Linked DNA regions of Xenopus tropicalis. The main gene of each other region encodes a partner of the protein of the gene in region 2 in a complex. Links are inferred from orthologs where the notes say so. Each region holds a gene or a part of one and is shown on either strand. Other genes may lie near its edges. The genes, in order: tmem237, mks1, tmem231, b9d2, tmem216, tctn1 and cc2d2a.

Region 1 (3,500 bases), on a different chromosome or scaffold from region 2:
TAAAAAGCCTTTCCCAGTTAATATATTGCAGTGATGACAATTGGTTTTGTAACCTTTAGGGTGAAAACACACAGAGCTACTTAGTAGCAGCTACCAAACACCAGAAGATACCCTGCCATACACAATACTTAGAATTGCCCCTGCTAAAACACACATAGAGACAGTTATCAGTAAATGATCAGCATTGTCTATTTTTGCAGCCATGACAAGTAGTAGCCCTGTGTGGCTTCACCCTTTAGCCTGCTGAAATCTCTACCCAAATTCCATGCCTTCCCCATTGCTGTCCCTGGTAATTTCTCTAGCGCAGGGCTTTAATTCTTGCTTTACATACAGACAAACTCCTTCACCCTTTTTAACTCCTCTGTCCCTCCTAAACAGGGTGTAACCATTTAAATGCACAGCCCAGTCAGGTTCCATCCCACCAAGTCTCTGTGATAACAATTATATCATAATTTGCTATTATTTTCTGCACATGCAATAAACTCCAACTCTTACTGCTTTTCTCTCTGCTGTTTATATTACGTAATGGAGAATTAGCACTATAGATACTATTAGCCTGTTTTGTTTGTAACAGAGGGAACTCCTTAACTGGGAAACTATATGCCACTCCCCCATGACCCCATACTAATCCCACTTCCAGGTCTACACTAACTTCCTCATAATACTCTAGTTCCCCCCTTGACTAGTTTAATAAAATAGTAACACCAAAAAATAAAAATCTTTTAAAGTAATGTTAAATATAAGGTACTATGTGTGTACTATTGTGTAGCCGCAGGGGCAGCCGATGCTGTACCTGTCAATGGGGCTACATGAAAGAGCGAATGACAGGAGATCTGCTTTCCTCCACCTGTGTACAAAAGGCAGACTAAGGAAAGTGGATGACCTGCTTACTGTTCCCTCTGCCCTTAAAGTGATAATGGCATTTTCCTGGTATATATGGAATGTGTCACTATTACTTTCAATTTAAAGATGCAAATTAGGGCTTGAATACAGTTTGGCACATTTTTGTATGAGGATTTGGCACTTCAGCAAATAGAAAAATGATAAGGATTATTCAGTGCATACCTATTTTATTCATCCCACTGCTTCTTTTGCAATAATGTATTAATTTTTTATTTTTTTTTACACTAGGAAAACCCGGTCAGTGGGGCAGGAATTCCCAAATGAACTGGGAGTTGAGGACGAAGACATAATTCCTGATGGACATACAAAGATTCCTGAGCAGAACCCTGCGTTCCTTGCTTCTTCTTTAACTAGCCAGCCAGTCGGGAAATTCTTTGTGGAAAAGAATCGTAAGTGCAGGTCAAGGTCTTGCATGGTTTAGTTTCTGTGTGATTTATTTTTTTGGCTTTTAGGCCACTTAAGGTGTTCATGTGCATTTTGGCCATATGCGTGGATTGGTAGATTGCACTGATCTTTTTGTTGGCACATAAACAGATTAGATGGCTGTGGGTGTATAATTTCCTGAAGAATTGCAGGTTGAAAAACATATGCACCACATAGTAGCCACAAGTTGCATCGTAAGCCAACTTCTGCTACTATGTGAAGCACAGGTAACTCGTATGCTTTCGCATGGGTGATTTACATTGTTGTCAGTATGAAAGCATTTTCAGGACATTAGTCACCTACAGTAGATCAGATTACAGGGCAACTAATCTCATGTACCATAGCCCTAAAATGGCTATACAGTGCTGACAGCTGCCACGAATCACCGGTTTCCCCCTAAGTTTTGCCAGAATGCTTTTTGATATGTAAGTGGGGAATTAATGAGCTCCCCCTTTAATATTTAGGTAGGTTTCAAGCTGCAGATCGCTCTGAAATTATCAAAACAACTGAGCAAACTGATGTTTTCCTTGACGTCAAGCCAACATGGACCAGCATGGATGTATCCCTTACAGCACACCATATCTTTAGGTATAAATACCTTTGTTTAAATGCTTTCAAAATTCAAATCCAGCATGTTTTTGTATTTCTAACTTGTATTTATAATTTGCATTGATTGCAGGATGGTTGGCTTATTTTGCTGTGGATTCCTTGCTGGGTATGCTGTCTGGAATATTGTGGTTGTTTATGTTCTTGCTGGCTCCCAACTGACAAATCTTCCTAATCTGCTTCAAACGTACAAGATCTTGGCCTACCCATCTCAGTGTTTCTTATATTTCCTGTTGGTTCTTAGCACAATTACAGCTTTTGATAGGTAGGTGGGGTTTTTTTTTGTTTTTTATTTTCAAAAAAAGGTCTTTGGAACACTCAAACAAAATATTTCGCCCTTTTTATAAATATTGGCACACATTTAGCTTTCTAGATATATTTTACTGATATCAAATGTAATCTATAAGAACTCCAAACCACTCACATTCACTGATTTACTGATTCCTCTTTGGTTATATGCCCTCCTTTTTGTAACGCTACATTTTAAATGAAAGGGTATTTAGTGCAAGGGCACACTAAGCAGATTGTCTCTATCTAAAACATCTGCGGAGGAAAGCAGATCCACTCTTATGTGCACACCCCTGTAGCTTAATTGAAAGGCCTGTTGTTGACATGTGTGGAGCTACACAGAGTGGATATTGGCACCAAAATGCATAGATTCGCGTTTCTGTACCAAGATTGGCTCTGCGTAGCTCCACACATTGTGATGCTGACCCTGTCAATGAAGCTAAGGGGTTGTGCGCATAAGTGCGGATCCACTTTCCTCCGCCTCTATATAAAACTATAAAATGTCTACAGAGGAAAGCGAACAATCCATTTAGTGTGGTCTTGGGGATTTTTTCTTTTTTTTTTTTTTTTTCTTTCCTCTTTCGAAATCCCATTATCGGTTAGGTGAATAGCTTCTTATTCTCCCCTTTTCTGTTTTTCATTATCTGCTTATTGGTTAGATTAAGCTTGCTTACTGGAGAGTAACTAACTGTGGAGCAGTGGTCACCAACCAGTGTCTCGTCAGCAACATGTTGCTCCCAATGGCTTTAAAGCAGGTTTTCCATTTTGAATTTCTGACTTGAAGACAAGATTTGGTTGCATAGACCATGTGTACTGTCAAGCAGAGCCTCCTGTAGTCTGCCAGTCATCATTGGGCTATAAAATAACCAATCACAGCCCTTATTGGTCACCCCCTAGGAAATGTTTTCATGCTTGCGTTGCTCCCCAACATATTTTACATTTAAATCTTGCTCACAGGTAAAAAAAAAAGGATGGGGCCCCTGTCATAGAGTATTTGTTTTCAACTAAACATAGTTAATAATAGGGTTTAAAGAAGGGCATTTAGAAAGAAAACACATCTGCTCCTCTATTCTGCTTGAGAAATACATGTGGTGATGAAACACGTTATCCTGTACTGATGGGCTTTAAGAATGGCTAAAGTATTTTGTGAGTTTTAGTATCTGTACAAAAGGCAACCTGTGGTATTGATCTTAATCTCTCTCTTAATAATATGCACACAATAGGTGATTTGTTCATGGCTGTGGGAGGTGCAATAAGCAAACTGCCCCTGTTATGTGGAC
Region 2 (4,278 bases):
CTGATATAAAGAGTCGTCTGTTGCCAGAATAAAAACATAAGGATCACTTCATTTTTCCCGCCCTCTTTTGCATGAAAAGCATCAGAACCCTCTGATGGTCACTCACTACAACCTTCTCCTATATTAGCCCTTTTTGTCCATAAATTGTCACCTAAAACACTGGAATCCTCTAGTACCAAAATAAAAAAGATTAAAAAAAGCCTATAAACTCTCAATTGGTTTTGGTCAAGTTTACCCATTTTCTTGTCCTAAATTAGCCATTGGTCTGTTCATAAATTGTGAAAAAGCTAGTAGCCATACCTAAAAATATACTGGGACCCTCTGATGCCACTGTGAAAAAAGCCTAACAACTACAGATTACTGATGGTATATTTCACCAATATATTCTTTATCTCCCCCATGAAACAGGAAAACCCCCTGCCAGCACTGCTCCTTACCAATACCCTTTTGGGGCCCAGAACCTTCTGCGGCAGAACTGACAGGAAACCTGCACACTTTTAAGTTACGACCAGAGTGAATGTAAATTATTTATTTTGGTTAATTTCACCCTTTTACCGAAATCCAGCCCTTATTTACACAAAACCAGACACCCTCTGATAAAAAGAGCCTAAAATATATATTTTACCCATTATATTCTCATAACTAAACCTTTTAGGCACAAATTTGTGAAAATTATTTCCCTAATTTGCACATCAAACATTGGGATCCTCTTATACCACCAAAAAAATAAACCCTAAACCTTTGACCATTTGGTCAAATTGACCCATAGTCTTACTAAATTAGCCCTTGGTTCTGTCTCCAAACTAAAAAATATGGTCTGTCTTCACAAAAACACTAGGCCCCTCAGACACCAATGCTGTCCACGTAATTCACCCATTCTATTCTCAAAAATGACTCTTTTTAGCCCTAGATTGTCAAAAACATGGTCTCAATTTTCACATAAACGTGACTTTCCAAAAAACATAACCTTAGACCAGAGTTAACAATTACTGTGATACCAACATGAAAAAAAGCCTAAAAGATTAGGGCTGGTACGTATCACCCATTTTATTTGCTAAATAAGTCCCTGAACTGAGAAGAGCATGGCCCGAATCCTCACATACAGCGACCTGCACTATTGGCTAAATATCAGGAGCAGAGTAACCTCAGCAAAAGTATTAAAAGTGCGAGCGGGAAAAATGACTAGTAGTAAAAATTAATAAATATAACATAAAATAAAAGCCGCGAACAGCAAGCCCATGTTTTTAACTGCATCACGTAGTGAAATAACCGAGGTACGCTGTATATATAGCTGTGTGGTGTGACGTCACATTCTCGCGAGATCAGACTGGCGATATCTAATTCACCTGTCTGATTTAAGGAGCTGGATTATTGGAGGTATTTTAACGCATATTAAAAGATTTGCAAGACACATGGACTGTTATGGCTCCCAAACTATTAGACGCACATCGCGCTTGCTATTTGTAGCCTCAGTCGCGCAGTGACATGACGCACGGATATCAGCGGTAGGTTACAGTGCGCCGCTAAATCTCGGCTGCTACGCGTTACGTGGTGGCCAATTAGAGTTGCCGATTCGGTTGCCTAGGCAATTGCGACGCGCTTTTCTGAAATATGGCGGAAGACTGGAATCAGGATGTTGGGGAGGCAGTGTACAGATCCCGGGACCCCATAAAGAATCTGAGGATTCGGTGAGTGTCAAGGGGTTATTGTTGTTCGCAGCCCTACTCGCATGTGGAGCGCTAGTTACTCAGTGTCTTATTTGTCTTCAGAGTGACTCTGCAGCGGGTTACCCCGGCCATTGCTCTGGTACAGCGGGTGCAGGAGGAGGATGCAAATAGAGGAGGACTCGAACTACAGGCGCTGCACAACAACCCAGAGGCGAACAGTGAGTGATCCGGCCATATTGTGTGTTTCCCTTTCATTTTTAAGGCTGCATGGTGCCTGGGCGCAGGCTGGCTGTAGGGTGAGCTGTGCCTGGGCGCAGGCTGGCTGTAGGGTGAGCTGTGCCTGGGCGCAGGCTGGCTGTAGGGTGAGCTGTGCCTGGGCGCAGGCTGGCTGTAGGGTGAGCTGTGCCTGGGCGCAGGCTGGCTGTAGGGTGAGCTGTGCCTGGGCGCAGGCTGGCTGTAGGGTGAGCTGTGCCTGGGCGCAGGCTGGCTGTAGGGTGAGCTGTGCCTGGGCGCAGGCTGGCTGTAGGGTGAGCTGTGCCTGGGCGCAGGCTGGCTGTAGGGTGAGCTGTGCCTGGGCGCAGGCTGGCTGTAGGGTGAGCTGTGCCTGGGCGCAGGCTGGCTGTAGGGTGAGCTGTGCCTGGGCGCAGGCTGGCTGTAGGGTGAGCTGTGCCTGGGCGCAGGCTGGCTGTAGGGTGAGCTGTGCCTGGGCGCAGGCTGGCTGTAGGGTGAGCTGTGCCTGGGCGCAGGCTGGCTGTAGGGTGAGCTGTGCCTGGGCGCAGGCTGGCTGTAGGGTGAGCTGTGCCTGGGCGCAGGCTGGCTGTAGGGTGAGCTGTGCCTGGGCGCAGGCTGGCTGTAGGGTGAGCTGTGCCTGGGCGCAGGCTGGCTGTAGGGTGAGCTGTGCCTGGGCGCAGGCTGGCTGTAGGGTGAGCTTTTCCTGGGCGCAGGCTGGCTGTAGGGTGATCTGTGCCTGGGCGCAGGCTAGCTGTAGGGTGAGCTGTGTCTGGGCGCAGGCTGGTTGTAGGGTGAGCTGTGCCTGGGTGCAGGCTGGCTGTAGGGTGAGGGGTAGGGGCAAATTTAATCCAGGACAAAACCAAATACTGTGCATGGAGCAAAATTGTAGTAAATATATGTATGGCGCTCTTTTTGGTATTTCCACTACTTTTTAGCACTTGAAGAAGAGAGTTGCCCTAAAACATTTGCCTTGATTGCCAATAAAACTACGTTTGCACATTGCTGTATTAAGTGCCATTTGGATAATTTACTGGATTTCTATGAAGGGTAGGGTGAGCTGTGTCTGGCTGCAAGCTGTCTGTAGGGTGAAAAGGTAGGCTGAGCTGTGAACACAGAGTCAGGTACAAGGTGATCTGTGGGGTGAGTTGTACGTTGACTGTCTGTAGGCAGCAGAGAAGAGAATGTGTAAATGGGCAACAGCGAGCAAGGATTTCTCACATTCAGTGACTCTTTGCTTCACATTCCTGAACTGGAAGAGTATTGCATGTAGTATGAATACATGCACCTAGATAGGCTTCTATTCAGATATAAGTATCCTGGCGATATTCCTGTGGCTATGTATAATTCTTTCCCTGCCAAAAATGGCTTGCTCTGCTTTATGCCTGAAACTATAACTGAATTCTCCAATTGCAAGATCTGTCTGAAAGAACTATGTTTTATCTTGTTTCTACTACTATACAAAGTAGAAGCCTTTAGTACATTAACAAATTTTGTGCATTTTTGTTTTTATTATTTTTGTTGTCCTAATTGTCATGATCTTGTCTTTTAAGGGGGGCCTCATCCTAATGAGGAGAAGGAAGAAGTGGTGATTTCTTGGCAGGAGAAACTTTATAGCCAGGTAATTTCTTTTGTTGGCCTTCTCTTCCCACTAGCCCATAGCAAATAATTGTAAGTGGCCTAGTACTGAATTCAAATTTATTTTTATATATTTTCCTATATGAATAGCACATCTAATGCAGGTTACTAAAACAGCTGGTAAGCTGCTTAAAGGCAATCTATATCTCATATATGTTAATTGGTGCTTTATAAGTAAAGTTACAAATTTTGGTCCCTTATGAAAAGTGATGCTGGTACATTTAATGCCTTATTGTCTGGAGCCTTTTTAGTGATTTGTTCTGTTAATGCAACAGCAGGAATATGGGGTTCCTATTCTAGAACTTACAGAATATGCAATTAAATGCACAGTTGAACATTATATTAAAGGAGAAGGAAAGGTTCAATCAGGGAGGGGTGCCAAATGTTAGTGAGTGATTGTAATCACTTACATGATACCCCAGACTTGTGCTCCTGTTAGCAGAAAACTGCACCAGCTCGGGGTACATGTGAGTAAGCGTTTCTCTTCTTATCTTCTTCTTTCTTCAAAATCTGGGGCTGCCGTATGCACAGTAGAGTGAAAATGACGGATTTCTTTTTGTTAAAGTTCAACTTTTCACTCTAGTGTGCATGCATCAGCCCCAGATTTTGAAGATGTACCCCCAGCCGGTGCAGTTTTCTGCTAACAGGATGTCCAGCCTGTGGTATTGGGTAAGTGATTACAATTACTGGAGGTGCCTTCAATTTGGTACCCCTAGCGATTAAACCTTTCTCTTTTAAAGGCAAT
Region 3 (2,737 bases), on a different chromosome or scaffold from region 2:
GTAACGTATTTACTTTTTCTCTCTAAAATTATGACAGTTGCTAGTAATTGATGTTAAATAAGCTAGCATAAATGTCTCTCTCATTCCTTTCTTAAAGCATGGTGCTTAATTTTATTAAAAGACCTTTTATCTAGATAATCTCAGAAGTTAAGCATTAAAAATAATAGATTTCATATGTTTAATACTAGTAGCTTAGAGCACGTATCCCTCTTGCCCTGTCTAGTAGTTTATTTGCTCCTTGATGGACAATGCACTACTGTATATGTGTGGCCTTTTGGGAGAATGAATGTATGTGAAATATATTAAAATCTATAGCTATACATTTTTATGAAGTTGCCCAATCCACTGGACATTAAAAGCACTAGGGTATATACTGATCAGATTTTAGATGAACATAAACACTGTTGAACACATCACCCACACACAATTTATATTCCATAATGTTTGGCATGTGTGAGTGACATGTGCCACCTATTTTGGCATAACTGTCTGTGCCAATTGATTTGGGCAGGAAGAATTGAGCAGTGCCAAGCAACATATGGAAGTGCAAAAAGTACCTTTCTAAGCAAGTACCTTCTTACCCAATTTTCTCATGCAACTTACTGCAAGGAAATTAGCGGCATTGCTGCTGTACTAGCAGTTGTAAATGACCCCTACCATGCTGAATGGCACATTAACTGTTCTTAGCTGCTGACGAACCATTCACTGTAAGATAATAAATATGTGTGCTGGTTTAAATGGAAGAGTTTGCAAGCCTAACGGGAAATCTTAAACTGCTCTGTATTATGGGAGCCAATGCTAAATGGTCAGTGCTTAGAGTATGGTGGACAAGGACAGTTGTAACCCTGAGGCTTTGAACACAAAAGGGTAGAAAAGGGGCTGTATGTCAAATGTGAAACATAATTAAACGTTATAATAATAAAAAAAAATATATATATATATATTCATTATATTTGTAGTGTTTGTGTGTATGTATACAGAATAGACATAAATTTCGGCAACATCATTTTTGGCAACAGATTTGTTTGTTTTGTGAGAGATTTGTGAGATATTTTTATATTTTATGCATTATTATAGTTGTTATTATTTACCTTAAAGTATTAGGCATCTTTTTGTGTTTGTTAACTTTTTAATGTTATCTGGTTGCAGTGACCACAGTTCTGAATGCCCCAAACCCCCTGTGGATTGTTGGGAGAGCTGCTTCTGATCCATTTGTAATAAAAGCTGTTATCCGGTATCCCGTGGAATCAATATCATATCCTTTAACTCTTGTACAAGTTTGAAAAGTATAATTCTTTGTGCATATGCACAGCTTCTAGAGTATTTCATATGCCTACAAGTATTAAGAAAACTATTACTTTTATATCCGGTGCTTGGGCTATTTCTGATTTCTATTTCCTGGGATTTTGTTTACTGTTTTCAATATTAGTGCCACATGTCCCTTTTGAAGATTCCTTAACATTATCCACATATGTGCCTGGATTCTGGGAAATGCTAAAATATGCATGGATTCAGTATGTCAGTATCCTTCTCATTTTCCTTTGGGTATTTGAGAGAATTAAAATATTTGTTTTTCAAAATCAAGTTTTGACTACAGTACCAGGCCCAATACCATCATTGTATAAAAGTCATCAGAGCTGATAACCAACCCCATATGATAAACTGGATCTTGGGTATGCCTTTTGAGGCCTTAAGACTTCTAATAACTTCTCTTTCTTTACTGTGATAAAGAAGTGGATTTTCAGGAACATGAGAGGAAACCTATTTGCTATGTTGGAATTATTACAGCAGGAATTTCAGACGTGTTACTGATAAACTTCAACTCCCACAAAACATGCAAATAACACTAAGCGAATTCTAAGGGTTGTAATTAAGCAAGAGGTGAAAGCTTGCCTCAACAGCCCATACATTTAATGCTATGTTTTAATAATATCTTCTTGGAAAAATGAACCTAAATGTACTTCCTTTGGTAATATTTCCTTCTTTCTGAAGAGAGTGTTGGTTTAAAAATCCAGTGGCACTGGCAGTACATTGGATTGCCGTATACTACTGGTACCACTCCATCTTAAATTTCTTCGCTCCTAGTCATTTTTTTGTGGAAGCTAGAAATTGTTTTGCAAAATATCTCAGTCTTCCCAAATATTTCAGTTATTATTAACTGAATATTTCATTTTTATTAAAGGGGACCTGTCACCCAAACATAAAAAGCTGTATAATAAAAGTCCTGTTAAAATGAAACATAAAATCCAAATTCCTTTTTTTATTAACACATCCAAACCCATTATAAAGGCATTTAAAAATTCCAGCTGTAAATCATATATTGTATTAGGCATAGAGGTGGGGCAGACAATTACTTTCACTTTCCATTCAGCACTTCGTAGATGTCACTGCCACCCTCATCACTTTCCCCCTCCCTCCTCACCATCTAACTGTGTAGCCAGTGCATGGGCATGGGCATCAGGTCCCCCATTCTGGCACATAAACAAGATTTTGTTGTTGAAGCGAAGCTTTCCTTACTAAAATAGCACCTGGCTGCTTGCTGTAGTTGTGTAAAGACTGTGTAAAGACTGAAGGAAACAGGATTTAAATAATTAAATAATTAATTACAATAATTATATTGTGTAAGTAAAGTTTATTATGCTTGACTAATCTGATAGAAAATAATTTGGAATTATTTCTTACGATGACAGGTCCCCTTTAAAGGAGAAGGAAAGATAAAAACTAAGTAAGCTTTATC
Region 4 (4,150 bases), on a different chromosome or scaffold from region 2:
ATAGTATTGTGAACTGCAATGTATTCAAGTACCCTATCTTTCTTTTGGTCTCTATCTGTACCTGTCAGTAACAGTGCACTCTCTCAAAAGAATGCTCTTTTACAAGGAAATGGGCAGAGACAAATGGAGAGATCTGATAAGAAATGCATACTGAGCATGCAGAATAAATCACTCAATGAGAAAGGGGTAAAATGGGGCAAACAGTTATCTTGTGAAGCAACAGACAGGATCTTTTAAAGACACTAAAATAACAGCATATGTTCCGCAAAAATTGGCTCATTACCAGCTTGTCTTGCAGTAAAGCAGCTTTAGCAATCTTTTATAACAAAAATACTAATGTATTTCTTGCATGAATTGGATCAACGACACCTTTTCAGATAGGGATATCCTAAATAAATTCTTCTGCGTTCATGTATCCAAGTATCTCCCTACTTCTTTTAAAATGTAATTAAATATTTTGGCCACTATGTCTGTCATAAAAGTGAATGCGTTTCGTCTGACGCTGCCATTCAAAGTTTCCAGCATTTTAAAAGCTGGGTTCTTTTTGGTTTAAAGGCTTTACATTTGGGGGTGTGACTACAAAGTGGGAGCAGACAAACGCATTTTCAGCATGGCCATGCTAATTCTCATTACACCCCCCTCAGCCACTAACTTGCTGAACTTTAAATGGACGCTAATATGTCTCTTGTATACGTAATGCCTCAGAACCCGACACGACACGACGCCCTATATCTGTTTAAGCAACGTTCCATTACACTATGTTGTATTATAAATCACAGATTGCAGTATTAATAGCTATCGTTTAATCCCAATACTTCGTCTCCCACAGACTATCAGTCTCGATCAGTTTACACATTTCGCCTACAACAGACGTCACTTCCGCCGGTGAACCAATCAGATCTGCTGTATGCAACGGTTGCACAGCAACAGGCGGAGTCTACCAAAGTGAGAATTAGAAGGGGCAAAAAGCTAAGACAAGGAGCCGGTTTTCAGAGGGGGTCCGGTGAGATTTATGTTGCAGTTGTGCGGTTAGGGGAAGCATTTATAGCGGGATGTAAAAGAGGGCGAAAAATATTTAGAGCTAATAAACTGGTAAAGCGCTTACATCTTACCCTACTGCGGTGTTATATACGCAAAGGTAGATATGATTCGCAGGTTGTCGGTATGGAGTCCTGATGATTTTGCACCATCATCCAAATATGTATCGTCAGTAATTTATATGCTCATAGCACACACAATGGCGCCAGTGTAGGGAGTGTAATGGGGGTATTACGTTTTCCAGCAGCTGATAGTTGACAAACAGAGGCTCTTGGCTGATTCTGTAAGTGTAAGCTGTAGGGCCCTCAGTTTAGGGATTCTATTTGTTGATTCTATAGTGCCTTCACTGTCAGTGTTCTATGTAGTTATGAAATTCACTGTACATGAATAGCCACACTCATGAATTACATTACAGCCCAACTTGTGCAGGTATAAGTAGGTTTTTTTTGCTTGATGTTGGTCATTGACCTGGTTAGTTACATATGTAATACACTATGCGGTAATGACAAATAAAATTATGCTTTCAAATTGGTTTTATTGGATGTGTAATGAACAGTTTGGTTATGACATGCCACGTCTTACAGGGCTTATTGCTGGGGGTTAGCTACATATACTAATAATATACGTAGTAATAACACTGCGCTAAAAGTAGGTAATAAATAAAATGTATATGTAATACTAATGTTCCTTCTAAGCTATGCATTTGTGGATATTTAAATTACGATGTCAGGGCACATGCATTAGAACCGCCCTTTTACATTATTGAGGCCACTAGAAAATAATGGGGGATGTCATATCCTTGAAATGTATTAATCATTATATTTTGGAGGGACCACAAAATAAAAAAACCTAAGTAAGGGATGAAAAATAAAGTTTTACTGTAATAAATTGTGGTGCGCAAAAAGAATTTTGTATGTAAAGGCATAATTTAGAATTTTTTTAGACTTGCGCATAGTTTTTATAAAAGTGCTCAAATAGGTTTAGGAAGTAGGCACAAAAGAAAGTTTTTGCACACACAGCCAAGAAAAAAAGGAAAACTTGGTCACTGAGGCTTGTATATTTATATTGGCGTCAGATGGTATAAGAAGTGTAATTTCTAGCTGTTATTGTTTGTTGGACCTACTTCTAATAAAAATTATAATTTAGTTTCTTCACAATAATGATGTAACTGAAATATATTTTACCTTTCCTCCTACAGTAATGGCAGAGGTTCACATCATAGGGCAAATTATTGGGGCTAGTGGCTTCCCCCAACACAGCCTGTTTTGCAAATGGGGAGTACACACAGGTAAGAGTCATCATTTTGCATTTTAAATGGATCTATATATCAATTGTACATAAAAAAAACACAGTTTTGTTTTTTTGTGGAGCTGTACGCTGTTGAAAATGTGGTATATGCATTCAGTTGGCCCCACTTTTATTCTAGTACAGGTATGGGATTCCTTATACGGAAACCCGTTATCCAGAAAGTTCTGAATTATGGAATGCCCGTCTCCCATAGACTCCATTTTAATCAAATAATTCAGAATTTTAAAACAGATTTCCTTTTTCGCTGTAGTAATAAAACAATACCTTGTAATTGATCCCAACTAAGATATAAATAATCCTTATTGGATGCAAAACAATCCCATAGGGTTTAATTAATGTTTTATTGATTCTTTAGTAGATTTAAGCTATGGAGATCCAAATTACCCTTGGTCCCGAGCATTCTGAATAATGGGTCCTATACCTGTAATATATTTTTAAGTTTGTGATGTGAAGAAGAAATATATGCGTCAGGTGACCCCTGTATTTATTCTAGTAATGTGAAGTGAAGGAGAAGGCTGTGTTTGTATAACTTAAAGCCCATTTTTGGCTTTACTTTACATAAACAATATAAAAGAGTCTTAAAGGAAATGTTAATGTTTTGAGAAAATCTTGATATATAAGATACTGGTGTGGCTCTATCTATTATTAACCATATGATATTTCTATTTGTAATAACATCGTTCCCTACCATAACATTTAGGTGGAGCCTGGAAGCTACTTTCTGGGGTTGTGGAAGGCCAGACACAAGTAGATCATCCACAAAATGATGACATGGCATTCTGGTCTCACCCTATTGACATGCACTTTGCTACTAAAGGATTACAAGGTAAAGTATGATAGAATAAAGAATAAAATAAAGAATCTGTTAAAATTATTGTAATCACATTGGAGCCCCTGCACAGGCTCCCAACCCTAACCCTACCCATTCAAATGAACACACTTTACCTACCAAAGGTGCAAAGTACATTATGTACTTTAAATGCTTGTATTTCCCCCACTTAGGTTGGCCAAAACTTCACCTTCAAGTCTGGCATCAGGACACATTTGGTCGTAATGAACTTTATGGTTACAGCTTCCTCCACATCCCTTCCACCCCTGGTACTCACTCATTGCTTAGCCCAACCTGGCGACCCCTGGGAACATGGCAGGAGCAAATATGTCAGATGTTTGTTGGCGGCGGCCCACAACTTAAGTCATCCAGCCTGATTTATGGAGGGTCTGATCGCTACCGTCTGCAAACAGTGGCCATGGGGCAAGTACATCTCCAATTAACGGTCATACTCAGGAACTTTGAACGATACGGGGTGGAGTGTTCTTGATTTTGCAGAGTGCTAAGAACTTGTTCCTGGTTTTCCAAATGATTATTTTTGGTGCCAAGGACATATGCACTGAAATAATCAGCAAGACATTTTATGGAATTACTTGTGAACACCTCAAACAGAATCCTGCTCAGTATTTAATGAGCCCCTTTTCTCAACCCTTCTTAATAAACCTGATACTTCATATCTCTTCTGTACCATAATCTGGTAACATTTATCCTCCTCCCCTTCTACTAACATCTCTTACACTTTCCCAAATTGTCTGTTACTTCTGATATTAGCCATTTTCCTCATTGTATCACTTTTTTACTATCCTTGCTTTGTTTTCAGCCCTGTTATAAAGCACACTCCCTTTCTCTCCTTTCATTTTCATAATACCTCATTCACATCAATCACTTACCAGAATACATTTATATATAAAGTAAATTGAATGTTTTTGTTTTTAAATACTTTTCAGGCTCTTTTGACGATTATCTTAAATCAGT
Region 5 (3,942 bases), about 140 Mb from region 2:
GGATCAGGGTGGGAAAAGGGTGGGGATCAGGGTGGGAAAAGGGTGGGGATCAGGGTGGAAAAAGGGTGGGATCAGGGTGGGATCAAGGTGGGGATCAAGGTGGGGATCAAGAAGGAAACAGGGTGGGAAAAGGGTGGGGATCAGGGTGGGAAAATGGTGGGATCAGGGTGGAAAAAGGGTGGGATCAGGGTGGGATCAAGGTGGGGATCAGGGTGGGAAAAGGGTGGGATCAGGGTGAGGATCAAGGTGGGGATCAAGAAGGAAACAGGGTGGGAAAAGGGTGGGGATCAGGGTGGGAAAATGGTGGGATCAGGGTGGGAAAAGGGTGGGGATCAGGGTGGGGATCAAGGTGGGGATCAAGAAGGAAACAGGGTGGGAAAAGGGTGGGGATCACGGTGGGGATCAGTGACCTGTAACTCCGCCCATGTGTTACTAAAAGTAAATATAAAGGGGAAGTTGACCCTTTATTGGGCTATGGGTTCTATAATGAAGTAACTGTGAGTAACATAATTAGGTGAGTAGCAGTGAGACGAGGAAACCGTGGGTGGGAACATCCGGCTCTTGAAGCGAGGGTCTCGCATCTCAGCCCCAATTAATAACGACTGCGCATCACTACTGAGAGACAGCAGCATCGGCCCCCAACTCTCCCACCCTCGCTCCTCTACTGCCCCCCGTGCAGTCATTAGTGCTCATACTGCCTCTTGTGTTTGGAATAACCTCTTCAGTGTTATAAAGGGTTGTCTCCATCTTGCCCTACTGTCTCCATCTTGCCCTACTGTCTCCATCTTGCCCTACTGTCTCCATCTTGCCCTACTGTCCCCATCTTGCCCTACTGTCTCCATCTTGCCCTACTGTCCCCATCTTGCCCTACTGTCCCCATCTTGCCCTACTGTCCCCATCTTGCCCTACTGTCTCCATCTTGCCCTACTGTCCCCATCTTGCCCTACTGTCCCCATCTTGCCCTACTGTCCCCATCTTGCCCTACTGTCTCCATCTTGCCCTACTGTCTCCCTGGGCAGAGGAGCTAGCAATCTAATTTGGCTGCAGGTACACTCTCCATTGAACAGTTCCCAGAAGCCCAGCCAGTCCCAGTTATTTAGTGGCCCTGAATGTTAGGGGGGAAGGCGCTAGGACCCCGCGGCGCACAGGCGGCTCAGGGGGTCACGTGTTGCGGAGGTTTCCAGGGAGTGACGTCACAGGCGTCCTTAGAGCAGCAAGATGGCGCCCAAAGGTAAGCGGGAGGCGAAGCAGCGGATGGAAGAGCGGCCCCCCTGCTCCCTGTAATGGCGCCTGTAAGCGTGGGGCTACTGTGTCCCCTATGCAAGAGGTGCAGCTGATCAGCGGGACTACAACTCCCAGCATCCCCTGCACCCGATGCCGCTACGCTGTCCCCTTACCTGCTGCATAGGGACCCGCACCGCTAGTGTGCAACTACAACTGGGGGGGGGGGGGGGGGGCTGTTAGACCACAATTCCCGGCATCCCCAGAGAAGCAGCGACTTCTCCCTGTTACCCACAATAGCGCACATTCCCCGGGCAGGTGGGTATATTATGGGCAGGTGGGTATATTATGGGCAGGTAAGTGGGTATATTATGGGCAGGTGGGTATATTATGGGCAGGTGGGTATATTACGGGCAGGCGGGTGGGTATATTACGGGCAGGTATGTGGGTATATTACGGGCAGGCGGGTGGGTATATTACGGGCAGGCGGGTGGGTATATTACGGGCAGGCGGGTGGGAATATTACGGGCAGGCGGGTGGGTATATTACGGGCAGGTATGTGGGTATATTACGGCAGGCGGGTGGGTATATTACGGGCAGGCGGGTGGGTATATTACGGGCAGGCGGGTTGGTATATTACGGGCAGGTATGTGGGTATATTACGGGCAGGCGGGTGGGTATATTACGGGCAGGCGGGTGGGTATATTACGGGCAGGTATGTGGGTATATTACGGGCAGGCAGGTGGGTATATTACGGGCAGGCGGGTGGGTATATTACGGGCAGGCGGGTGGGTATATTACGGGCAGGTATGTGGGTATATTACGGGCAGGCGGGTTGGGGTATATTACGGGCAGGCGGGTGGGTATATTACGGGCAGGCGGGTGGGTAATATTACGGGCAGGGGGTGGGAATATTACGGGCAGCGGTGGGTATATTACGGGCAGGCGGGTGGGTATATTGAGGGCAGGCGGGTGGGTATATTACGGGCAGGCGGGTGGGTATATTACGGGCAGGCGGGTGGGTATATTACGGGCAGGTATGTGGGTATATTATGGGCAGGCGGGTGGGTATATTACGGGCAGGCGGGTGGGAATATTACGGGCAGGCGGGTGGGTATATTATGGGCAGGCGGGTGGGTATATTACGGGCAGGCGGGTGGGAATATTACGGGCAGGCGGGTGGGTATATTATGGGCAGGCAGGTGGGTATATTACGGGCAGGTGGGTATATTACGGGCAGGCAGGTGGGTATATTACGGGCAGGCGGGTGGGAATATTACGGGCAGGCGGGTGGGTATATTACGGGCAGGCGGGTGGATATATTACGGGCAGGCGGGTGGGTATATTACGGGCAGGTATGTGGGTATATTATGGGCACCTACAGGGGGAGACCAAACATGGCTGCTCTGAGTGCTGGGAGGGGCCCCCGGCCCCCACTGGGTCTTCTGCTTGGTATCATGTGACTTGTGCTGCCCCCTAACTGTGCGTTTGCTTCCCAGGGAGAAGGCGCGGAGTTGTATCCTTGGCACTTACATAGGTGAGACGGTACCAAGTCACCTGTACAGGTATAGCCTGGCCCCGCCCACTGCTTCTTATATTCCTTTAACAATTCATGGGGGTACATTACCCCTTATAATACATGAGTGATACTCAGAGTTCCCTGTATAACTCAGCCTGCAGCCTTGTGCCTTTATATGGGGGGCACAGAACCCCTCAGTGACTGCTAATATCCTTATCATTTACAGTAGGGGGTACATTATCCCTTATAATACATGAGTGATACTCAGAGTTCCCTGTATAACTCAGCCTGCAGCCTTGTGCCTTTATATGGGGGGCACAGAACCCCTCAGTGACTGCTAATATCCTTATCATTTACAGTAGGGGGTACATTATCCCTTATAATACATGAGTGATACTCAGAGTTCCCTGTATAACTCAGCCTGCAGCCTTGTGCCTTTATATGGGCACAGAACCCCTCAGTGACTGCTAATATCCTTATCATTTACAGTAGGGGGTACATTATCCCTTATAATACATGAGTGATACTCAGAGTTCCCTGTATAACTCAGCCTGCAGCCTTGTGCCTTTATATGGGGGGCACAGAACCCCTCAGTGACTGCTAATATCCTTATCATTTACAGTAGGGGGTACATTATCCCTTATAATACATGAGTGATACTCAGAGTTCCCTGTATAACTCAGCCTGCAGCCTTGTGCCTTTATATGGGGGGCACAGAACCCCTCAGTGACTGCTAATATCCTTATCATTTACAGTAGGGGGTACATTATCCCTTATAATACATGAGTGATACTCAGAGTTCCCTGTATAACTCAGCCTGCAGCCTTGTGCCTTTATATGGGGGGCACAGAACCCCTCAGTGACTGCTAATATCCTTATCATTTACAGTAGGGGGTACAGTATCCCTATAATACATGAGTGATACTCAGAGTTCCCTGTATAACTCAGCCTGCAGCCTTGTGCCTTTATATGGGGGGCACAGAACCCCTCAGTGACTGCTAATATCCTTATCATTTACAGTAGGGGGTACAGTATCCCTTATAATACATGAGTGATACTCAGAGTTCCCTGTATAACTCAGCCTGCAGCCTTGTGCCTTTATATGGGGGGCACAGAACCCCTCAGTGACTGCTAATATCCTTATCATTTACAGTAGGGGGTACAGTATCCCTATAATACATGAGTGATACTCAGAGTGGGAT
Region 6 (3,500 bases), on a different chromosome or scaffold from region 2:
GTACCTAAATCTGACTTTTTTGCCAACCTGACTGTCCCCTCTCAACCTGTCAGTTATAGTTTCTAATGCTAATGGACTATTGCAGCACAAATATGGCAGCATTAGACAGATACAATTAAGGCAAAATTATAAAGCTCATGCAAAGACAATGTTATAATATTTTTAAAAACAATTTAATTTCTGGTGCCAGTATCTCTTTAAGATACATTTGTTAGTTAAATATCAGCATTTTATCCCTAACCGTAACGCATTTGTTGTTTTTTTTTCTTTGCTTATCAAGTTGCCAGTCTGTGTGTTTGCGACCTGCTTGTGGGCCAGTGTGATGTCAACTGTTGCTGTGACCCTGACTGCAGTACCTCTGACTTCAGTTTATTTTCTGGATGTTCCATTCCTGTTGTCACGTAAATATCTTTGCGAAACTCCCTGTTCCCGCACATACAGCAAAGCATACCTCCCAACTGTCCCAATTTTTGTAGGACAGTCCCTCTTTTAACAGCTCAGCCGTAGTCCCGGAACACTAAAAAAGATACAATGTTTCTCAAATTTAGCTTTTGGCAGAGAGCCCAGAAATCTTAACAAGCTACAGATGCACTTTTTGCAAATGTTGGGAGATATGCCGTAAAGTAAATCCGGCAGAGCTACTCTGCTACAAATGCACAAGTACCCAAGTGCCCAAGGATAAAAGAAAGAAGATACTGAGATGCTGGTGCAGCACTTAGGTATCTTTTCCATTAGTTGGTGCAGTTTTCTCCCTAACAGGAACACCGACCCAAGGGGGAGGGGCTAATATTTTGCATTAAAGTGACACATATATCAGTGCTAGTGCTATTTCCAAGCTGTCTAAATTAAGTCCTATTGGCTTTGAATGATATGGGGAAATCTGTGCTGTAGTGAAGCTGAGTGAGGAATAGCCACACTTCTCTTTTTAAGCCACTACCAACTCACTGCCCAAATTAATGGCAGAATTAAACAAAAATGTCCTGCATGATTGTAGTGCATCCCTAGGTATCTCATGATACAGCAAATTCACCTGATGATGTTAACAGGCAAATGCGCAGTGCAATTTAAGTGGTGCATCCCTATAGATTTTGTTTCATTTTAACCACAAGATGGCAGTATTGTATTTCAATGTATTACTTCACTGAGCACAAATTTCATTTCCAAATGTTGTACAGATTCAGTTTTTTGGCAGTTAGAAGAAGGCTCATTTGTGTGCACAAGTACAGTGAGCAAAGTGCAATTTGGAGCGCTAAATATTTTTGAAGTCTGTCTGGCATCATTCCTGGCGTGTCATTTCTGGTGATGTGTGTGACCTATTCTGTGTGCAAGTGATGTGTGCGACCTGTTCTTTTGGAGCAGTTGAGGCAGGGCATGACCTGGTCTGGGATTTCTCTGCATAGATAGGCGCAGGGAAATGTGCATGTTACCCACTGTGCCTGTGGATGTAAATTCTTAAGGCTGATGCCATATGGGGCTGATTCTTGGCCTGTGGAAAAATGCAGGCCAAGAATCCGCTCCTCCCCTGGCAATAGCCTCTTATCTTGCCTGTGCCTGGAACCATTGTGTTGGCCCAGGTGCAGGTACATGCTTTGGATATCAGCAAAGAAACGGAAGAGTTCGCATTTTGAGCCAATATCTGCCGCATGTGCCTGCACCCAGGCCAACACAATGCTTCCAGGTGCAGGCAAGATAGGAGGCTGATGCCAGTGGACGGGCTGATTCTCGGCATGTGTTTTTTTACAGGCCGAGAATCAGCCCTATGTGGCATCAGCCTAAGATCATTGTGGACCCACACTTAAGTGACTGATAACTGCATACACCAATTGAATTGTTCATCAAATGCACTGATGTTCCATTATGCCTGATTAGATCTGTTTAAATGGTTTGCATAATGAATGAAAATGTAATTCTGAGCAACTTAAATGTGATTCCTAGTGAATCTATGTTCCTGACTGAATTCTGCTACATCGTTTCAAGAGTCAGAACTAGTCATGAGTACAAAAACAATGCTTTCAGTCACAAATATATTTAAAAATAATCAGTGAAAAAGAAATTGCTCATGTATATTGGAAACTTGCTTTGAATTGCATTTCTATTCGTTATGCAAAAGAACAGTTTTTGGCAGGCATCCCTTCAGAATTCCAAATGGATTTTGATTGGGTGATTAGATCATTTGGGACAAATATGCAGATTTGTGAGGGGACAGTTTCTTCAGTAACCCCAATTACTCTTTATTTAGTAATTTTTAATGCTTCTGTTCCAGTGCATACAAATACAGCTACCTCCTTCTGCCATCAGAAAATATGCATATATCCTCCCATCTCTGCCAACAATGCTTGATTAAATGGATACTGGCATACACTATCTAATAGTGAATTTAATACTAGATCTTTTCAGTATGCCTTTTTTTTTTTTAAATAGCGCTGTCTGTCACCTCCAGCTGCCAGCCTCCATTATTCTTACACTTCCCATACACTTGTGTTTCACTATCTCACCCTATGTAACATAGGGCTTTTGATTGCCACACCCTATAAATTCAGAAGTGTAGTGTATCTGCTGGCAGCCAGTAACATTCATTTTAATAGGAAACCTGCTGCTTATGAGGAACACTAGCACTAAGATGGCAAGTTCAGAAACACTGACTGTTGTGTTTCCAACCGTTACTAGCACTAGTGTTTGTCCTAAGCAGCATGTTTACTTTTTTGCAATTCAAATAGATTAGAATACGGGAAACCATATGTGAGCTGGTTTTTATCTGTGATCTATTTTTTTTTCCTCCAGAGTAGACAGTCAGTTATGTACACAAGAAACTGTACAGTACTCGATCAATGCCTCGAAAAGAGTTGTCAACACAGTCGAGCAGATTAATCCAAGCATTTTCTGCATCCAAGCAACCAATTGTATGTACCGCTTTTATTTCTTAACTAAATAATTATTGTGGCTATGAAAGCAAATATGAGCAAACAGTGCTTTAAAAGGAATAGGGGACCAGTTGGGACAATCTTGGCAGGCCCCCTACACAAGGTGTTGTCAGTTGGCACAGGGTTCCAGGGCTGGGTGGGCAAATAGTCCCTGCCTCTTGCTCTATGACTGATGATCTAACCCTGCCTTTTCACCTCTCTTTCTCTTGTTCCTTTGGCCCCCAACCGTTCATGGCACAATGTGGACCCCAAGCACTGGGCACTGACACACTAAGCATACTATATACAGTGTGAGACAATGATTATTGGTCCCTCAAACACACTATACAAAAAAAAAAAACAGTGCGTACTCTGTAGCAATATGAATGCAGTTCCCACTTTTTGTGCTTATTCCACTTGGTGCGGGGCCCCCATGGGCCCAATAGGTCTAATTGGACTAAGGCCAGTCCTGGTGTGCAGCACTGTACATCAGAACAGTAAATTAATAGAACAAATGTGGTCCATTACAATAATAAATACAAATTACTATTGCATTAAAAATTAAGAGTTAATGTTGAAGCCACATGGGACAGATTCTCA
Region 7 (2,211 bases), on a different chromosome or scaffold from region 2:
AGTCGCCCGCGAACAGGGAGATTTGTCCCGGGCGACTTATCTCCCCGTGTGCCAGAGCCCTTAAGCAAGCAAGTGACTTTATTTGCCCGAGACTGAAGTGCTAACAAACTCTATATGTGTGCTGTGGGGAGTTGTGAATCCTTCAGTTTGATGAATATTTCTGTCTGTTAGATTTGGTTTAACACGCAGCAGTACGACGCACCAGTGAGTATGACCTTTGACACAAGCAGGACCAATATGTGGAAACCATTCTTTTCCAGAAGTTACCCTCATCCTGGGCTCTCGAGTGTTCAGGTATTGATTGCTTGCTCTGCCTCATTTATTCACATTTAGATTGTAAGCCTTAGTGACTGGGGCCCCTTTCGCCTTCTCTCTGGCTGCTATTTAATCTCTCTGCCCAACACCTACTTCCAGGACGTTGTGCCTCCCCCATAACCTAGACATCGCATGAGCACTAAAATTTTACATCCCTGGTACAGGCAATTTCAGGAAATGAGGCTCACTATTTGTACTCTATGGTCCAGCCCACAGAGGGGCTAAGGCCTCCAAATATACCAGTGGATAAAATCACTCATCACAAGGGTATCCCAACTCATCACAAGGGTATCCCAACTCATCACAAGGGTATCCCAACTCATCACAAGGGTATCCCAACTCATCACAAGGGTATCCCAACTCATCACCAGGGTATCCCAACTCATCACCAGGGTATCCCAACTCATCACCAGGGTATCCCAACTCATCACCAGGGTATCCCAACTCATCACCAGGGTATCCCAACTCATCACCAGGGTATCCCAACTCAACCATTCCCGTCACTGCACACTCGGCACTCCTAAACAGTGCCTTAGCAGCCCAACTGCGCAAAACAGCAACACAGCCCTCCCTACACACATGCACACAGTGCTACAAGTTCAACATACTCCAACCTGGAGTAACCGCACACTAAGAACTGTTACCTGCCATGTTAGAGGCCTGCACCTCTTAACTTCTTGATAATATCCCACCCTTTTATCCCTGCTCTGGGACTAACCCATCTGTCCCTGTGCTGGCTAGGTACTGCCCGAGAAAAGGGGATTAGTAATACTTACTCATAAATCCTTTTCTCATTGTCCCATCACGGCAGCACAGGTAGCCCCCACCCTCACTCCCTGCTTCTACTTACCTACCTACATACATCTCATGGGAACTGTTGGAGGAGGGGTTAATGCAGGGAAGAGGAGGACCAAAGGGGTGGATCTCTTTCAGTTCTTCAATTAGCCTGCCTCCTGCTAGCGTGTTAACCCTTTTGTCCCTGTACTACTAGGATAGGACAAATCCCCTTTTGTATCCTTTATCATTTATATTCAGTGTCAAAAAGGAGCAATATGGTCCAATTCCCTGGCTGTGTAACTGCTACTGCTATCAGGATAGGATGAGTCGGCATCTGGTGTTTGCTGGGGGATGTGGGCACCTGTGGGTTGTGCCGGTTCCACAATCAGGTGCTGTAAATTGGTTTCTTCCTTGTCAATTAAAACTGCCCATTTGCTTTTTGTAGCCAGAGGAGCTGATGTACCAGCGTATAGACAAGGCAGCGGCCGCTGAACTGCAAGACAGGTATGTGACTTATTCTTGTTACAGTACAATGATGTGTATGTGCAACTGTAACCTGCAGTCTGGGGCCCTACTGTGCTTATCTGCATCCCACTGGCACTGGGGGAGAGAGGGGGCTGCAGCTGAATGTGTGTACCCTGCAGTCTGGGGCCCTACTGTGCTTATCTGCTTCCCACTGGCACTGGGGGAGAGAGGGGGCTGCAGCTGAATGTGGGACTGTGACTTGCATGTACAGTACAGTAGGCCATAGGTAATGGTAGAGAAACTTTATGCACTACTATAAATCTTAGCCATAAACTTAGTTACCCTTTAATACTCATACCGTACATGCACCTATCCTATCCACTGCAGCACAGGGGGGCATTTGTGCCTTTTTCTATAATGTGCAGAGGGTAAATTAAGTGCTACTCTAGCTAATTACCGGTATATAGAGTTCATTGGGGGGAAATAAGTTTGGGCTCTGTTGGCTGAATTAAGAGTAATACCGGCACAGGGATGTCATCATCTCTCAGTGACAGGATATTTCCCATGTATGTATGCACCATATGTATTTATGTACAGTAGATATATATACATATATATATATATATATATATATATATATATATATATATATAT

The links.
Region 1: mks1 (region 2) and tmem237 share a complex: the UniProt entries of both Homo sapiens proteins name them as parts of the tectonic-like complex. The link is inferred for Xenopus tropicalis from reciprocal best matches to the Homo sapiens genes MKS1 and TMEM237.
Region 3: mks1 (region 2) and tmem231 share a complex: the UniProt entries of both Homo sapiens proteins name them as parts of the tectonic-like complex. The link is inferred for Xenopus tropicalis from reciprocal best matches to the Homo sapiens genes MKS1 and TMEM231.
Region 4: mks1 (region 2) and b9d2 share a complex: the UniProt entries of both Homo sapiens proteins name them as parts of the tectonic-like complex. The link is inferred for Xenopus tropicalis from reciprocal best matches to the Homo sapiens genes MKS1 and B9D2.
Region 5: mks1 (region 2) and tmem216 share a complex: the UniProt entries of both Homo sapiens proteins name them as parts of the tectonic-like complex. The link is inferred for Xenopus tropicalis from reciprocal best matches to the Homo sapiens genes MKS1 and TMEM216.
Region 6: mks1 (region 2) and tctn1 share a complex: the UniProt entries of both Homo sapiens proteins name them as parts of the tectonic-like complex. The link is inferred for Xenopus tropicalis from reciprocal best matches to the Homo sapiens genes MKS1 and TCTN1.
Region 7: mks1 (region 2) and cc2d2a share a complex: the UniProt entries of both Homo sapiens proteins name them as parts of the tectonic-like complex. The link is inferred for Xenopus tropicalis from reciprocal best matches to the Homo sapiens genes MKS1 and CC2D2A.

Annotation. Positions count from the first base shown.
Region 1 is NC_030685.2:53,792,719-53,796,218, forward strand, and holds part of tmem237 (transmembrane protein 237), read left to right. Parts: intron 1-1,131; coding exon 1,132-1,292; intron 1,293-1,790; coding exon 1,791-1,914; intron 1,915-2,005; coding exon 2,006-2,197; intron 2,198-3,500. UniProt on the Homo sapiens protein: Component of the transition zone in primary cilia. Required for ciliogenesis.
Region 2 is NC_030678.2:41,734,378-41,738,655, forward strand, and holds the start of mks1 (Meckel syndrome type 1 protein), read left to right. Parts: upstream 1-1,478; 5' UTR 1,479-1,611; coding exon 1,612-1,688; intron 1,689-1,769; coding exon 1,770-1,885; intron 1,886-3,448; coding exon 3,449-3,516; intron 3,517-4,278. UniProt on the Homo sapiens protein: Component of the tectonic-like complex, a complex localized at the transition zone of primary cilia and acting as a barrier that prevents diffusion of transmembrane proteins between the cilia and plasma membranes.
Region 3 is NC_030680.2:64,234,200-64,236,936, reverse strand, and holds the end of tmem231 (transmembrane protein 231), read left to right. Parts: intron 1-1,149; coding exon 1,150-1,255; intron 1,256-1,469; coding exon 1,470-1,641; 3' UTR 1,642-2,237; downstream 2,238-2,737. UniProt on the Homo sapiens protein: Transmembrane component of the tectonic-like complex, a complex localized at the transition zone of primary cilia and acting as a barrier that prevents diffusion of transmembrane proteins between the cilia and plasma membranes.
Region 4 is NC_030684.2:79,325,656-79,329,805, reverse strand, and holds the start of b9d2 (B9 domain-containing protein 2), read left to right. Parts: upstream 1-1,350; 5' UTR 1,351-1,421; coding exon 1,422-1,467; intron 1,468-2,236; coding exon 2,237-2,326; intron 2,327-3,046; coding exon 3,047-3,172; intron 3,173-3,348; coding exon 3,349-3,665; 3' UTR 3,666-4,150. UniProt on the Homo sapiens protein: Component of the tectonic-like complex, a complex localized at the transition zone of primary cilia and acting as a barrier that prevents diffusion of transmembrane proteins between the cilia and plasma membranes.
Region 5 is NC_030678.2:178,906,072-178,910,013, forward strand, and holds the start of tmem216 (transmembrane protein 216), read left to right. Parts: upstream 1-1,142; 5' UTR 1,143-1,218; coding exon 1,219-1,231; intron 1,232-2,720; coding exon 2,721-2,737; intron 2,738-3,942. UniProt on the Homo sapiens protein: Part of the tectonic-like complex which is required for tissue-specific ciliogenesis and may regulate ciliary membrane composition.
Region 6 is NC_030677.2:162,888,123-162,891,622, forward strand, and holds part of tctn1 (tectonic-1 precursor), read left to right. Parts: intron 1-280; coding exon 281-401; intron 402-2,781; coding exon 2,782-2,900; intron 2,901-3,500. UniProt on the Homo sapiens protein: Component of the tectonic-like complex, a complex localized at the transition zone of primary cilia and acting as a barrier that prevents diffusion of transmembrane proteins between the cilia and plasma membranes.
Region 7 is NC_030677.2:27,909,883-27,912,093, forward strand, and holds part of cc2d2a (coiled-coil and C2 domain-containing protein 2A), read left to right. Parts: intron 1-171; coding exon 172-294; intron 295-1,537; coding exon 1,538-1,596; intron 1,597-2,211. UniProt on the Homo sapiens protein: Component of the tectonic-like complex, a complex localized at the transition zone of primary cilia and acting as a barrier that prevents diffusion of transmembrane proteins between the cilia and plasma membranes.